Linked DNA regions of Lytechinus pictus. The protein of the gene in region 1 purifies or fractionates together with the protein of each later gene. This does not show direct contact. Links are inferred from orthologs where the notes say so. Each region holds a gene or a part of one and is shown on either strand. Other genes may lie near its edges.

Region 1 (7,880 bases):
ACAGGTGTATTGATTATTCAGAATGCATATATCGTACCTCACGTCCAGGCTGCCAGGCGATATGCTTCACATCTTGAGTATGAATGCTGAGTACACTGGCACATTGGTAATCATCGTCTTCTTGGTCAACTGCAAATTAGTCATTCAAATATAAAATAAAAACACAAAACAAAATAATACCATATCGATAGCTCCCCCGATCATATGTCCAAGCTTTTTCAAAAGTTAATCAGAACAGTTAATTCAGAAGGATTTATGAACATCCACAAGAAGGCTATTGCAGTAAGTATGCTTTTCTTAATAGTCTATCAAATAATCTACATGTATGATCCAATTTTTCTACACCTTGGAACAATACCTATAGAAGTAGGCATTTAAAAATCATAATTGATATAATAATTCATCGAATGGTAATATGGATCCTCATCAAACGATTGGCTGAAATCAATCACATGGCCATTCATCAGTAGCTAACAAGATAATTTGACAAGTTCTATTGACCAGTCATGGTTTTGCAATGAGGATGGTTCATCAAATAACAAGGATCAAACATCACTATCCAGGGGTGGATCCAGGATTTTCCAAAAGGGGGGGGGGCATATTTTCCAGAGGAAAAATTTGACAAGCTGAAAAAAAGAAAGAAAAAAAAGAAGAGTTTGACAAGCAAAAAAAAAAAGAAAAAAAAGTAAAAGGTCTTCACTTTCAAAGGGCGGGGGTACACTTCTGTTTTAACAGCATTTTCACATTACAAATTTTAATTGTGCTTCTCAAAAGGGGGCACCGGCCGGCTTTGCACCCCCCCTGGAACTGCCAGTGTCACTATCTCACAAAACATAATCCCATAATACACATGATTTTGCTTGGACATGAGAATAATTACACTTGTTACATCTGAAACAGACCAAATAATAATTATGGGGCTCTGGCGTTTTATTCTAACACATGCCCTTGATGATGTGTGTTGTACTGTCAATGCTTACCTTCCCAGATCCAAACACTTTTGTCCCTGCTGCACGTTGATAAGAGTGAGCCAGACTGTGACCAAGCAACACTCTTCACCTCATTCTCATGGCCCTCTAGGGTGGCGCTGCACTCAAACTCTCCGCTGCGACGATCCCAGATGCAGGTCTGGGCATCAAAGCCTGCCGAGGCCAGCAGCTGACCGCAGGGTGACCAGGCAACACGTCGGATGGTCCTTGTGTGGCCATCCTGGAGGATCTTCTTACAGACCCAATTATCACCTTGTGAGAGAACACAATAATCATTATTGTCATGATAATAAAGTGTTTAATGGAGTAATGAACTAGAACTCTCAGTATAAGACAGATAAAAACAGCTTCCAGCAGATTTTCTGTATTTTTTTAATGCAAATAGAGTCTCGTCACTTAATGCAAAAGAAGAAAAAAAACACTACCGTATGGGTACTAGTATTCAACCCGGCATAATTCAAAGATTTTGACATATTCCCCAAAATATTTAGAAATAGGGAATTTATCTTACTTTCATACCTTTGTTATTTCCAGGGTAATCTGTTGTCGATATTTTCTTTGTCAATCTGTCGACTGTATGCGCGGAGGATCGAATTATGCGGCGATGGCCTTTTGCACTGAATGGTACTAGTATTCAACCTAGTGAGGATTGATAGCAAATCTCAAAAGGGTTTAGATTGCTAAATTAGATGTAGATCTATGTAAGTCTCTGGCTTTGATTAATTCCCCGTTTGGTCTCATCTCAAATGGTCTAGTCCATAGTCGGATGGGACAAGGGCAGATTGAGAGACAGGGCCATCTTTCATCGCTAGGTTGAATACTAGTACCGACGGGTTGAATACTAGTACCAAAATTCGTCGCCGTATAATTCGATCGCCCGCGCACACAGTCAACTGGTTGAAGAAAAAAATAACGGAAAAAGAATCACCAGCATTTGCTCTTGGAAATAAGACGGGTCTGAAATTCAGGTAAATTCTATATTTCTATATATTTTAGGAAACTCTCCAAACGGGTTGAATACTAGTGCCCTTACGGTACCGGTACAAAAAGATTTTAAAAAAAAAGTAAATTAGGAGTCTATATATTACAAAGAGCAAGAAAGTTATTGGTGTAAATAATTTTCATAACGAGTAGACGTAGGGGTCTACAATCTACTTGAGTCTAGGCCCGCCCTAACATTAGACCCAACTTAGATATCGAACTTGTTAACGTTAGATCTAACGACAACGTTAGATCTAACTTTCGTTTAATTTAAGGCTAAATGACGCACGTGAGCGCCTAACGAAGTCAGACTAACTTTAAGTTTTTAAGTTTTAACTTTAACCATGTTCTAATGTTAAACTTGTTAGGCTCCGCCATTTCAAAAATCTTTGTAAACAAGGCACAAGTGCACACATTATTAGCAAGAATCATTCCCTATAGATCTACTTAGCATTCAATTCTTTGATCGGGAATTATCTACCTTCTTTGCCCCAGATTCTGACCGTCTTGTCACCTCCACAGCTCGCCAGAAGTGTCCCGGTCGGATTCCACGAAACGCACCAAACGCGGTCGTGATGACCAGACAATGTTGAAATCGGCTGCAAATTTCCATCCATTTGGTTCATTGACTGTTTTACAGGTCCTTTCCACTCCTGATCCTTTAGGGAGAATAAATAGATCGTTAAAGTTATCAATAATTGGGAGTTGTTTTTCTTCTATTTCGGCTGGTTGCATATGCACATCACAAACTTTCCGGTGTGTAGCGCCATCTCGCGACATTTATAAAAAATTGAAAATCCGGGAAGATTAAATTTGGAAATGACAGAACATAACATTTCAGGATCATCTCTGCAAATCGTCTTTAACCAGCTTAAGGATGTTTTGACTGCACAGAAGAAACTAGTGGACCGTAAATATTCAAATGTGAGTTAAATAACCAACCGACTTCAATCAAAAATACAAAGGAGAGCGAAAGAGGGCGAAAGAGATCCATTCCAAGCCGAGCGCGCGCCGCTACGTCTGCGACGGATGCTCATGCTCCCCGCGGGCCGGTGCGGTGGCGTGATGAGTCAGGCCAGGGCCGAGAGCGAGAGCAAGGTGGTAGTGTAGATCAAAACAAGCTTCGGTCTCTGTTAAATTGGTTGTTCTGCTGGGGCCTGTTGCATGAAAGGGTCTTTCGTAGAACCATTCTACGTAAGAACGAGATATCGCTCAACTGTTTAACAAAGCCGATTTGGGCGATTACGAAGAATGGTCCTTGGAAAGACACCTCCAGAGGACCAGACATGTCCTACGACGAGGCATGATCTTCTTTGCACACCGCCCGCCACCGTCGGCATTGAGAGAAAATGCATTTACGGCAAGCCACACTGACATATCACCTCTAAACATTTTTTTGGTTGCACTCTGATGCATTTTATCTGGGTGGGATGGCGCCAAGTTATTTTTTATATGGGGGCTGGTTGTCATCAATTTCAGGTCGTCTTTTTGCACGGCAGGACGACCAAAAACGGATGTCATTTTAACTTCTCCGGGGTACATGTATTATTCCCGGGGGTAATGTATAGTAGCCAGGCGGCTTCTTGAGAGTAAAAATCATTTACTAACGTAGGCTTACTCTCCATGAAGCCAGGGAGTCCTTCCTATTCATCTGCGTGTACCGCAAAAAACCCTGAAACTTTCGCCCCCGATCGGCGATCCGAAGAGAGCCTGAGGCTATTTTTCCATTAAAGAATATTGATGAGAATCATAATGTAGGCCATGATACATGTATATATTTCCATAACTAATAAATTTAGCTAGTTTTTGTTATTTTGGGGGAAATATAGTCCTTTGCAAATCGGACTTTTGAGTTTGATCATTACAAGAAAGGGGGGGGGGGGGGTTAGACCAAAAGCTTCAGTCTCTGTATTTTGGTTGTTCCGCTGAACTGTGTTGGCTCCACTCACCAATACATAGACTGAAGAGTTGTTGGCAGTATTAGCAGTAACATTAGATCTAACATTCGGCGGAAACCCGATTTTTGGATTGTTTTTTTTTTACATAAAATGTCACATTATAAAAAAGAAAGTACATTCAAACTTAGCAAAAAATTAAATCTGTGGTAATTCTTACAGCTATAGACAGCACATCTTTCTCTGCCACCCATAATTAAGAAGAAAAGTGATGTTAGACTCTGGAACAAATATGACGAGGCGTTTACTGGAAGTTAGCAAAATGTTGGCTGCGGCGTTGATCCTATTTTGATATACTATGGAAATCGTCCACTTTATTGTCGGCTGCTTGCGTTCGCATGTCCGCATCCGGACAATAGCGGCGCTATTGCTCCCTTTTTGATCCCATGATCCTTTTCGTGAATCTATTTGCGATAAGGTCTATCCTGGTTTAAGTCACCACTCCATTCACTGCCGTTCATTTTGTAAGCGGTGGTGAATTCTTTCATCTCCCATTGACTTTGTACACAGCGAGCGCACACACACTGACACACACGAGAAGAGAGGTGACATATTTCAGGATAAGGCCTAATAATCTTTATTTTGGTCCAGTTCTTTTTATATATTTTTATGATATAAAGACAAAAATCGATGAGCCCCGTCCACTCAAGGGTTCATTACATGCCGCCACGCACATAAAAATCAAGCCATAGAAGTCGTGTGTTGTGGACACCAGAAGTGGGATCGCAGCACGCGCGACCCACTAGTTAGAAATCCACTGCCAAACGCGGTTCATGGTGCGAGGTTATAGTATACTAATACTAACCTCGCAATATGTGTGAGTGAGCCCCATCGGGGGGATTTTGCATTGTTAATGCCCTAATGGCGGCTGCACGATCGCGAGCCGACTATGTACGAGGAGAAATAAAAAATTAAAAAATGTTAAAAAACTCCTCGAAACAGACGGCTGCCAGCTGTCTAGGCGGTACAGTAGACTGCTGGCAGCCGTCTGTTTCTTAACATTTAATAAATTTTTTTAATTCTCCTCATACGCAGATGGCTCGCGATTGTGCAGCCACCATTACAGGGTTAACAATGCAAAATCCCCCCGACGGGGCTCATTGATTTTTGTCTTTTTTTTTCTTTAGACCCTATTTCATTGGTCTAGCCCTAAAAAGAAGATTATTAGAATTTAGATTCCATTTTGGCCTGAAATGCACCAAAACGGGAAAAAATAAACTTAAAAGGAAAAAAAAGAGTGACTTACTTCGGCTGTCGAGTAACTCCCACTGCTCTGGTTTATCCGAACTTAATACATGTAGTTCATAAACATATGGCCATTGAGTCCCTGTAACTACAGATCAAGTTAAGTTAGAACTTCGGTCTCTGTAATTGGTGAGTGCAAGAGCCAACGGAGTTCAGCGGAACAACCAATATAACAGAGACCGAAGCTTTTGGTCTAGGTGGTAGGGAGCCAGCATGACCATGCCTGGGCCTGTTTCATGACGAGATGAGCATAGTAGGGACGTCGAAGGACCATTCTTCCGAGATAGGAAGATTGGCGACAAATCAGCGCTTTCAGTTTCACGAAGGCAAATTTGTCATCCAATCCAACTTTGACATTGAATTGTTTGATTAGACTACCTGGTATAGGCCTAGACTACATGTATATACATCATTTAGTCACGACACGTTAAGTTAGATCTAAGTTAGTATCGTCAAAAAATTTTGTCTTCATCGCCACCTGAACCTAATTCAACCTATTACGGAATGACAACTTTTCATAAAATCGTATAGACCTATTTAATTTTCCATAAATGGAGATCAAAAAATTATGTATGTATTACAGATTGTGGAATTGATGTACATATGGAGATGTTGATATCCGGAGCTTACATGTACTTTATGAGGTGAAAAAAAAAGAGAAACAACTTTAAAGTTAAACTAGATCCACAAACATAATAACTGGATAAAATCGAAATTTTCATTATTTTCCTTATCTAGAACACATAGTCTTTTTAAGGACACCTTTCATTGATATACGAGAGAGACACTTGTTCGAAAATGAAAATGGAAGTAAATCAGTAATTTCGACATATTGAAATATTCTGAATTTTTATGAATACTTTAATATTTGAAGTGATAATTTTGCAAATTATGCTTTAAAAGTTATTTGTTGAGGTAAAAATAGGGTTTGAATCAAGTAAACAAAGTCAACGTGTCTGACTGTATGAGACTAAGAAGGAAAATATGAGAGGCTGCTTGTGAAAAATCTAATTTATTTATTTCAAACGTCAGGTATAATGCAAGAAATACAAATGTGATTTAATGTTTAGACTTGAGAGAAAATTGGGTATGAAAAGTAACCAAGGACAAAAAAAAATGTGAAACTTGCACAGATACAAACATGCCAAGTAGGTAAAGTAGCATGGCAATAATAAACAAAATAGAAAGATGTGTAAAATCAATATTTAGGCAGTGGAAAAATACTATTTAACAGAAAACAATGTTAAAAATTACGATGATCATAAATGTTGGTCATAAAGTTCATAACTTTATGGAAGTTTATATACAGAAAGTCAAAAAGGGGCCTAAGCTTTTGATCCTAGCAGAATCTTCGTCGGAGGCAAAATGACAAACATATAAAGTGGAACAACCATAATATAGACCACAAACAAGCTACAGCAACACTATAAACAAGGAGACAAAAGGGGCATTAGTGAGTAGAGAAGACCAATCAGGTTAGTGAAGGGGATGAAAGAAAAGGAGTAGGCAGACACAAAGGGAAGTTAGTATAAGTAAGGCCAGTAAAAGACCTCAAGCCAAGAGGGATTAAGATAATGAGGCAGGCAATATCAAACAGGATCTGGAACAAAACAGTGATAATGGGATGAATAACAAGAGAATTAGTGAGAGGTGGGTCAAACAGGTTACAAAGAAAGGCATAATAAACTGGTGCATAAGAGTGGGGGAAAAAAGGAAAAGAATGGGGAACAACTGATAATGTGCAAAAGACATATAAGTATATATGATAAAGCATTAAACAAACTAAGAGAAGAAGGTAAGTGTAAATATGTATCTATAAGTGATATGTATAAAAATATATCCAAAAAAGAAATGTATATGAAAAAATATAAATAAACATATGGTGTAACTGATATTGTAATCCGCTAGGTGTGACAGGAAAAAAACATAAGACTATATAGTAGGAAAAAAAAAAAAAAAAAACCTGTATATGTGAAAAAGAGGAAGCAAATTGCCTAAAAAGGTAAAAGCAAATATAGAAGAGAAGGGGTGTATTATGAAGAAACCAAAGTATACATGTAAATAAGCAAATGTGGTAAATCTAAAAGAGGTGAGTGGAGAAAAAACAAATATATATATATAATAATTATTATATCGCCTGAATAAGGAAGGAAAATTTGGAGCTGAGCTTGTATGAGATATGGGAGGAAAGTAGAGGAAGAAACTATAATGTAACTATTCAAAAGAGCTGAGGGGAAAAATTATATGTATATATAAATTGAAAGTGGATAGGAAAGAAAAATCAGTCGTTCCCCTCTTGGATGTTCAGGCCATGAGGTTGGGTGGTGCGAAGTCGTCTCATCCAGAGCTTCTCCCTGCTAGTACGGACTGAGTCAGGACGGGTACCTAAAGATTCGATGCCCTGTAGCATCATGTCAGTGATGGAGTGGTTTATATACATGTAGAACATGAACTTCAAGAATATTAAAAAATATATATACATGTATATGTCAAACACTAAGTTAAGGAGTCGAGACATTATTTATTGCTTTTGACACCCTATGGCTTAAACTTTATGATGTCACAATCGTTAATATACAGTGTAATAATAAATATTTTGCTTAAATTTGGCTTTAATAATAAAGTAAAATACTTAACAAGTTTAAGAATTTTGCTTTGCCATTGTTAAGTATTTTACTTTGCCAAGTAAAATTATGCTAAGTAAAATTAA
Region 2 (7,540 bases), on another chromosome or scaffold:
CAGAACACTTAACCCCCCCCCCCCCTCTCTCTCTCTCTACCCCTTTCACCCTTTCCTGAGAGACTAGCCTTTGCGAGGGTGAGCAGGAATAAGCCTTCCAGTTTTTTTAGAGGTGAGTCCTTCAGAACTTGCAAAGTTAAGGGTGTTATGCTAAATTAATGATGAATTGAGATCAGTTTTGGTTTCATATTAAAGCAAATTTCATGAGTTACTAAATTGAAATGTAATGCATGAGTAAACAGGAATTGTAATTTTAATGTAGCTTTTTTAGTTTATTATGTGGATCTTATCAAGTGTGCTTGTGAGAGTCAGAGTAATGTGATGGTACCTGTTACATGCAAGGGGGTGAGATAGGGTAAGACTGGGTTATAGGGGCATTCTTCTTTGTGTTCTCTTACAAATAACAAATCATGTACTCACCCCCGCCCTCCATCCCCTTTCTTTCTCCTGGATGGTATTCAAACTTAAATGACTTATGGTTGACGGGTCTTTCTTTTCCATTGAATGATTATTAAAAACTTGACTAATTATGATGATTTATGAAATAATTTATTGAAAAAGCTGAATGTTTGATTGATCATTTATTGAAAAGGGTGAATATTTGATTGATCGCACTGATTGAGTTGATTTACTAATAGATTATTGATTGAATGATAGGTAAAAGTTGATGACCTAATTTTCAGAATTTATTATCAAATTGACAGTCCGCTCTGCACTTAATACGTACATGTAATAGCAATCAACCTCAATCTCAAAAGGAGAGAGGAATGGACCTGCAGGAGGGAGGCTAAACGTTCTGTTGACCCTTTTCCCATCAGCTTACTTCACCCACTGAAGTCGTTTCTTACCCCTATTCTCCCGACTCCAATGAACACACTGCTGAGACCCACATAGTAAAGTTAAAATGCTGCACTAAAGATTGCAATTCATGCTCACTCATGCATGGAATTGCAATTTGATAATTCATGAAATTTGCTTTAACAATGCAAATTGATAATGACCATCAATTCATCAAAACACCCTCAAGTTTGCAAGTTCCAAGGGACTCACCTCTCAAAAACTGAAAGAAACCAAAAGGCTAATTCCTGCCCACCCTGATTTTCATACCCTTTGTTTAAGTGGGTAGTGCTCACTCAAGCATGAATATTTTTCCAACATTTTGGTGTCATTTGAAAGATGACTTTATTGGCTTTCCATATATATAATTCTTTCCCCCCAAAGTGATATACTTTTTATTTGGCAGCCATTTCAAAAGTGTATAGTTTTTTTTGGACGCACTGTATAAGAAAGACAAAGAAGAGGGAAAGTGTGGATTCATATTGTTTGGTAAGTTTTATGGAAAAAAGTGGTCATTAACAATGTATGATCTAGTGTCTAAATTCCGGTTATGAGGGTGTTGTTGTGCCTTGACCCTTGACCTTGTACATGTAACTTTCCTGCGCACTACGCCAGAGTCACTCAAGCCAGGGTTCATTACATGCCGCCGCGCACAAAAAAATCAAGCCATAGAAGTTGTGTGTTGTGGACGCCAGAAGTGGGATCGCAGCACGCGCGACCCAATACTTAGAAACCCACTGCCAAATGCGGTTCATGGTGCGAGGTACTCATTCAATGAACAAGGTTATGATATAACCTTGTTCTCAGTTATACATGTATCTCCATGTGTGGCAAAATAAGGATGGCAATGTTTGGCTCATTTTCTCTTTTTCTTTGGGACAAATGCTTGATTTTCTTACACGTGACAGTTTCCAATTCACCTATTCGTCGTAACTTGGCCCTTAAGTAAATTTGATGCTTTAAATTATTTTTTTCTTAATAAAAAATAGAGATAAAAAATGAAAATTTTCTTGCCATATTATTTTCCACCAATAGAGGGCGTACACAAAAATATGCCCAAAATTCAATTTTTTCGAGCGCTCTAGTGAGTACAAAAATTATTCCCAAGTTACTTATAAAAAATAAATTGCAACTGTATGGAAATTAGTAATTTTGGTCACAAAAATGATATTTTAATGATTTTTTAAAGTGTGTGCTCTGCACAGCATTGGCATGCCATGATGTAGTCCTCCTACTATCCTAGACCTATAGTCCTACCTGTAGATTCCCCACAGGCAGGGTGGTTGCAGTGAACAAGTGGGTGGTTGCAGTGAACAAGTGGTGCGAGGTTAGTATACTTCTAATACTAATCTCACAATACGTGTGACTGTGAGTGCGCCAGAGTTAGAACCTTGACCTTGAGTGGGTCTAGCCTACTGCCTAATTCTAACTTTTAAAATGTAAGTTTCTCACGTTAGATTAGATTAATGCAAAAGAGAAAAAATACAGGCTTAGAAAACTAAGTACAAAATGCAGCTTCACAATTATGGGTTCTTAAATCTCGACATGAATAATGTCATGATGAATCTCGATTCAATGACAATGAAATGATGAATGATCAATGAATGACAAACTATTTTTAAAATAGATAGTTAGGCCTATTCTAAATCTAAATTCTAATTAATCAATGACGTTTCTATCTAGTAGGCCTATCAGGTTTTTGTAGCACGTGGTGTAACATTACTCGTTAGACCTATGTTGCATTAATAGACAGGCTCGAGTCAAACAACGTCCATGAAGTCGATTGACGATGGTGCACTGCAGATGCAGCTGAATGCCTGCAAGCAGTAGGGTCCGCTCACTCACCTACCACCTCCCCCGGAACCATCGGCGTTCTCACTGCGGTCGGCCCTGTAGCGGCCGCTGTTCTGCAGAACCATTCCGAAATCTGAACAGACACTCAGTGATAATTATTTTAACTTTCTGCCTCTCATGTGAAGTTTTGTCCAAATTCAAAGCCTCCAAACGCATCAGTAATACTTCAAAATATGTGTCAGCCTGGTACATGTACGTATTCGACAGAACAATATCAAAGACAAAGTATTAAATTAGGCTTGTTCGTGTTATTCTCGATCAGTCGATGATCTAGGAAACTTCATGTTTGGCGCGGGCGCGAAAATTGTTAACTTCAAACTAAAGAGGGCGCGCAAAATGTGAGGTTCTTTATTTGAGCTGAGCTGAGGAGCCGAGATATCGATATCGGAGTCTGAGAGCGACTAAAAGTAAAACATCATGAAATTCTTAATATTTTCAGCCTTTTCCTTGTTGTTGGTGATGAAAGGTAAGTCGCTTGTCCTCGTTTACAAGAGTGTGTGCTATTTATTGTACCATTAAGTGTGTTTAAGCAGTGATGTTTCTTTTTGGTATACCCGGAAATCGGCTCAGCTCAGTGAGGACTGACGACGGGAGCTCCGACGTCGCAGTCCCGGTACCTCCGGCGCCGGTGTGGTAGAAAATTTGGACCGGAGCCCGCCAGTCCAAAACGGCTAGTAAGTAGGCCTATATTTGGGCTGTCAGTACCAGGCCAAACGGCTAGCCGATCGGGGCTGCCAGATCCAAAAGACTGGTTGAAATTTTTGCCGATACGAACGGAAAGCCGCTGTTTGGTTCCGTATTCGTCAGAAGGTTCGAATGTAGTAGGCCTAGGCCTAGGCCTAATATATAATAATATCTGCTTTGGTGAAATGTTTCAATATAGGCCTAGGCCCTATATAATTATAGGTATGTGACAAAAAAAATGAAAATCATCAAATATGAATAAATTTGGTATCATTTGAAAGCTCTTAAAAAGACCTTTCAAATGATACCAAGAACTCTAATTTTTATCAAGAAATTATAAAGTTATTCCAGTTTAAGTGAAGTCGCGCATATTCATCCAGGTTTACTTTGTGGTCATTGTCTTAATGTAAAGTCAATTCAGTGGAGTACAGAACCGATTTTTGTGACCATTTTGAACCCAAGTCTTCAACAGGCTCTAACTTTGTTTTTTAGCCCTATGAAGTAATTTAGGTATCAATGGAAAGGTGAAAGAAAACTCAATCGATGTGTAATCATTTCATCTTGTAATTTTTCTTATTATTATGTGTAAAATAATTTCTTCTAATTCTAATTAATTATGCAAATTACACAAAATCACAATTACTCGGTAACTCGCCCCTTTTTTTTGCCAAATAAAGGTGATCATGATACTTGATAGATAATTTATATAATTTAGTTGGCATCAAAACAGCATCATGTAGATAATTTCCTAAATAAATTTGTTTAAAGTATTGTTTTTGTAATTTCTAATGTATTTCCTTGTTTTTCTGATATAAATTACAAGCTCTTTTTCAACTTAGTATTGTAAATTTTGTATACATGTATGTACGGGGGTCCTTTTTTACGTATACAAATTATCCCTTTTGTACTTTGTATGACCAAATAAAAATACAAGTGTGCTTTTTTCTGATGTATTTGATTGTTTCACCAATTCCTTATGTATTCTATTGTTTCAACAATTTGTTATACATGTGTAATATGTAGCTTTTGATTTTAGAGACAATGGACATTTGATTACTTTTTTTAGGAGGGATGAGCAGCTGAGTGTAAAATATGTTATGTAGCATTATATGCAATTTATTTCAAGTATCAAGAAGTACAAAAATTAAGCTTTAATATATTCTATCAGTTTTTAATGTATTTCGTAGATTTGTATACACACATTGTATTGCAAAGGCCCTGTTTGAGCTCTCTTTTTTTAAAGAAAAATAAATGAATTCAAACTATTAGTTGAAGCCAAAAGAAAAGGAAAAGAGTGGTCTATTTCTTTCAAAACAAAACAAAAAACAACCAGGAAAAAAAGATAACAAAGCTCTAAACAACAAAACAGACATCAAAGCTCCAAACAAACATTAAAACAAGAGAAACAAAAGTGACACAAAAACTTGTACCAATCCCATCCCCATTTTCCAGTTTAAAACACAACCCCACCTGCACCCCTAATGAAAAAAAAAAGTATTTAAAAAAAGTAAAAAAATAAAATTAAAAAAAACATAAATACAGGACTTAGACCTATCTGGAAATGAAATATTATTTTCTCTGAGTTTTCATGTATTTTCTTACAAGAGTGAAAAAAAAAATTACAACAAAAAAATAAAGAACATATAGTTTGTGCATTTTAATGAAAAATCAACATATAAGATATTCTCCTTTCAAAAGCAAATCCAGTCTCCAAATAATGAAACTTGACCAAAAAAATTGAAAAAATAAACAATACAAAAATTTTAAAAAGAAACAAAAATAAAAGAAAACCTAAGGGGGAAATATGAACAGAAAAGAAACAAAAGAACAAAAAAAAAAAATGAAAATTTTAAAAATAGAAAAGAAAAGTGAAGAAAATAAAAAAGAAAAGAGAAAATAAAGAATATGAAAGAAGCTATTAAAAAAATAATCCTTTTTAAAAGAAGGGGAATGGGTCCTGCCTCGTAGTCCTGGGGAGCTGATTCACACACTCACTGATATTAAGCCTCAATCTGCCCAGCTTTCTTTTTCAAAATAAATTTGGAGTTGTGCCCCCCCCCCCCCCAATATCTTTGAATGTAGTTATATTAATCCAAAACACGAAAGAAAAGAGCAGTTAATTTGGTAAACAAACAATAAACCCCACTTCAGCAAGCAGCAAGATCAGCGCCCTAGCACAGCTGACAGCCACATACTAGCCCAGCGCAGCACCGTGAAAACTCACCAGGATGCCTATAATGCGCGCGCGGTCATGCAGCCAATTTTTGCTTGGCACATACATGTACAGTAAGTTTCGGAGCTAAAAAACATTGTTTCGGTAATCAAATCACTTAGATATTTCATATGCAGGTAATTAAATAAATATTCTACGTAGATATATAACGTTCAAAACTATACATACCTTCCTTTTTTTTAATTCAAGGCATCGAATTCGTCTCCAATCTTTTGATGGTCGACGTATCTCAGTCCTTGTTCATCGTACGGAAAAAAAATAAGCGATATCAAGCGGGATTCCCGATCTCTTGATCAATACCCCATTCATGATTTAAGGTCTAAAAATAGCACCGCTACAGCGATTTTAGCAGAGACATGCACTGTGCACTCGAACAAGAGGCGGAACGATAGTGCGGTGCAAGGAAATAACCTGCGGAAGCGCGGATTGTCACGTACCTACAATATATATATAATATTGGTGTGATTTTTATTAATTTCATCACAATTATTTCTATAATTCAGTCTAAAATTAAAAATGTTGGTCTAGGTAGATCTAGATAAGAGGTATTTCAGCCTCGTACATGTATGTTACGGACGGTACCCTCGGTACACGATGCGATGTAGTATGTACGGGTACCTTTTTTGCGCACGTGCAGCGCTGGACTGCCTGGACAGTTGACACGGTACCGTACTGTACCACGTCTCTTTTTTGGAGTAGAGTCTACTCTAACGGTAGTTTTTAAACATTTGTTTTTTAACTTTTTTATTGTAAACATGGACCGTGATTTTGTTATCCAATGCGAGGACATCTCGCATTACCTAAGGCAAACTTCAAATTGCGGGCGCGCTCATGCACACTCTTTTATTATTATTATTTCATCTCCCCCTTCATTTTCCTTCTCCCCCCCCCCCTTATTCCCTCTTCCTTTTTTCCTTTTCTCATATACTTTTCCCCATTTCTTGCGATCTCTTCTTCCTACGTTTTTTTCTCTCCCTTTTATTTTCATATATTTCCTCCTTTTTCGACTACCCGGGTCCCATGCCCCAACCCCCCCCCCAAAAAAAAAAATATGCGCATAGTGTGTGTCTCAATGAGGTGTCATTGAGAGTTCCCTGTGTTTCTGGCAGCCTTATTGTTGGACTTAGTTTTCTTGTATTGATACATTCATTTTGATTTCTACTTGATTACTTTGGGGGTTCGAAGAGCATGCAGCAGTGTTTACCCCACCATCACCCTAGTCGCCAATCCCATCCTATTTCTTGCTTGGTAATGAAGACCAAGACAAACCAGCCATATTGGTGGATATATTGAAGTTCACACCCTGAATAGCACAGGCGCACAAAGGGAGCACACAGTGTGAATAGGGCTTCATGGCTCCACCCAGCAGCCGTCCCCGGATGTTTAATTAATTGGAAGAGTGCTAAAAAATGCATACAACTTCCTAAATAACTTGAGATTCTCAAATCGGCAACTGTATCTGTTCTGTGGGTGTGGTTGACTTGGAGGAGCAAATTGGTTGAAAAGGACGACTGGAATATCACAATCTTGCTGTAGGGGGGATAATGGTGCATGAACAGCGTATAGGAACAAATCGCCTGGTCGGAACAAAGCGACTATGACGATCGCATCACACAACAAATGTCGGAACTAATCGGCGGGTAAAAGAGCCGCCGATTAGTACCTCCGGCCCCGATCGGCTGCCCGGTCCAAATCGCCTATGACACCGGCAGGTGATGAGCTCAGGGGCCTGTTTCATGAAATGGTCTTTGGTAGAGCCGCTGGAAGTACATGTATTACGTTACATCAAAAGAACGAGATATGGCTCAACTGTTTCACAAAGTCAAAGGCAAAGCCAATTTGGGCGATGCGAAGAATGGTCCTTTGAAAGACACCTCATCGACACCTCCAGACATGTCCTACGTACATGTAGGCATATCATATAATCATGAT

The links. The genes of interacting proteins can lie anywhere in the genome.
Region 2: the proteins of probable cytosolic iron-sulfur protein assembly protein CIAO1 homolog (region 1) and DNA polymerase epsilon catalytic subunit A-like purify together in Homo sapiens (affinity purification with western blotting; 3 studies listed by BioGRID, with this or other methods). This does not show direct contact. The link is inferred for Lytechinus pictus from reciprocal best matches to the Homo sapiens genes CIAO1 and POLE.

What each region holds. Positions count from the first base shown.
Region 1 is NC_087256.1:15,794,378-15,802,257, forward strand, and holds the start of probable cytosolic iron-sulfur protein assembly protein CIAO1 homolog, read right to left. Parts: upstream 3,008-7,880; 5' UTR 2,895-3,007; coding exon of another isoform or gene 2,790-2,894; 5' UTR 2,597-2,789; coding exon 2,452-2,596; intron 1,242-2,451; coding exon 981-1,241; intron 130-980; coding exon 38-129; intron 1-37. Other genes in the region: spermatogenesis-associated protein 24-like, read left to right, coding at 2,790-2,894. UniProt on the Homo sapiens protein: Key component of the cytosolic iron-sulfur protein assembly (CIA) complex, a multiprotein complex that mediates the incorporation of iron-sulfur cluster into extramitochondrial Fe/S proteins.
Region 2 is NC_087252.1:33,395,039-33,402,578, forward strand, and holds the start of DNA polymerase epsilon catalytic subunit A-like, read right to left. Parts: upstream 3,012-7,540; 5' UTR 2,757-3,011; coding exon 2,683-2,756; intron 1-2,682. Other genes in the region: MAM domain-containing glycosylphosphatidylinositol anchor protein 2-like, read left to right, coding at 3,109-3,157. UniProt on the Homo sapiens protein: Catalytic component of the DNA polymerase epsilon complex. Participates in chromosomal DNA replication.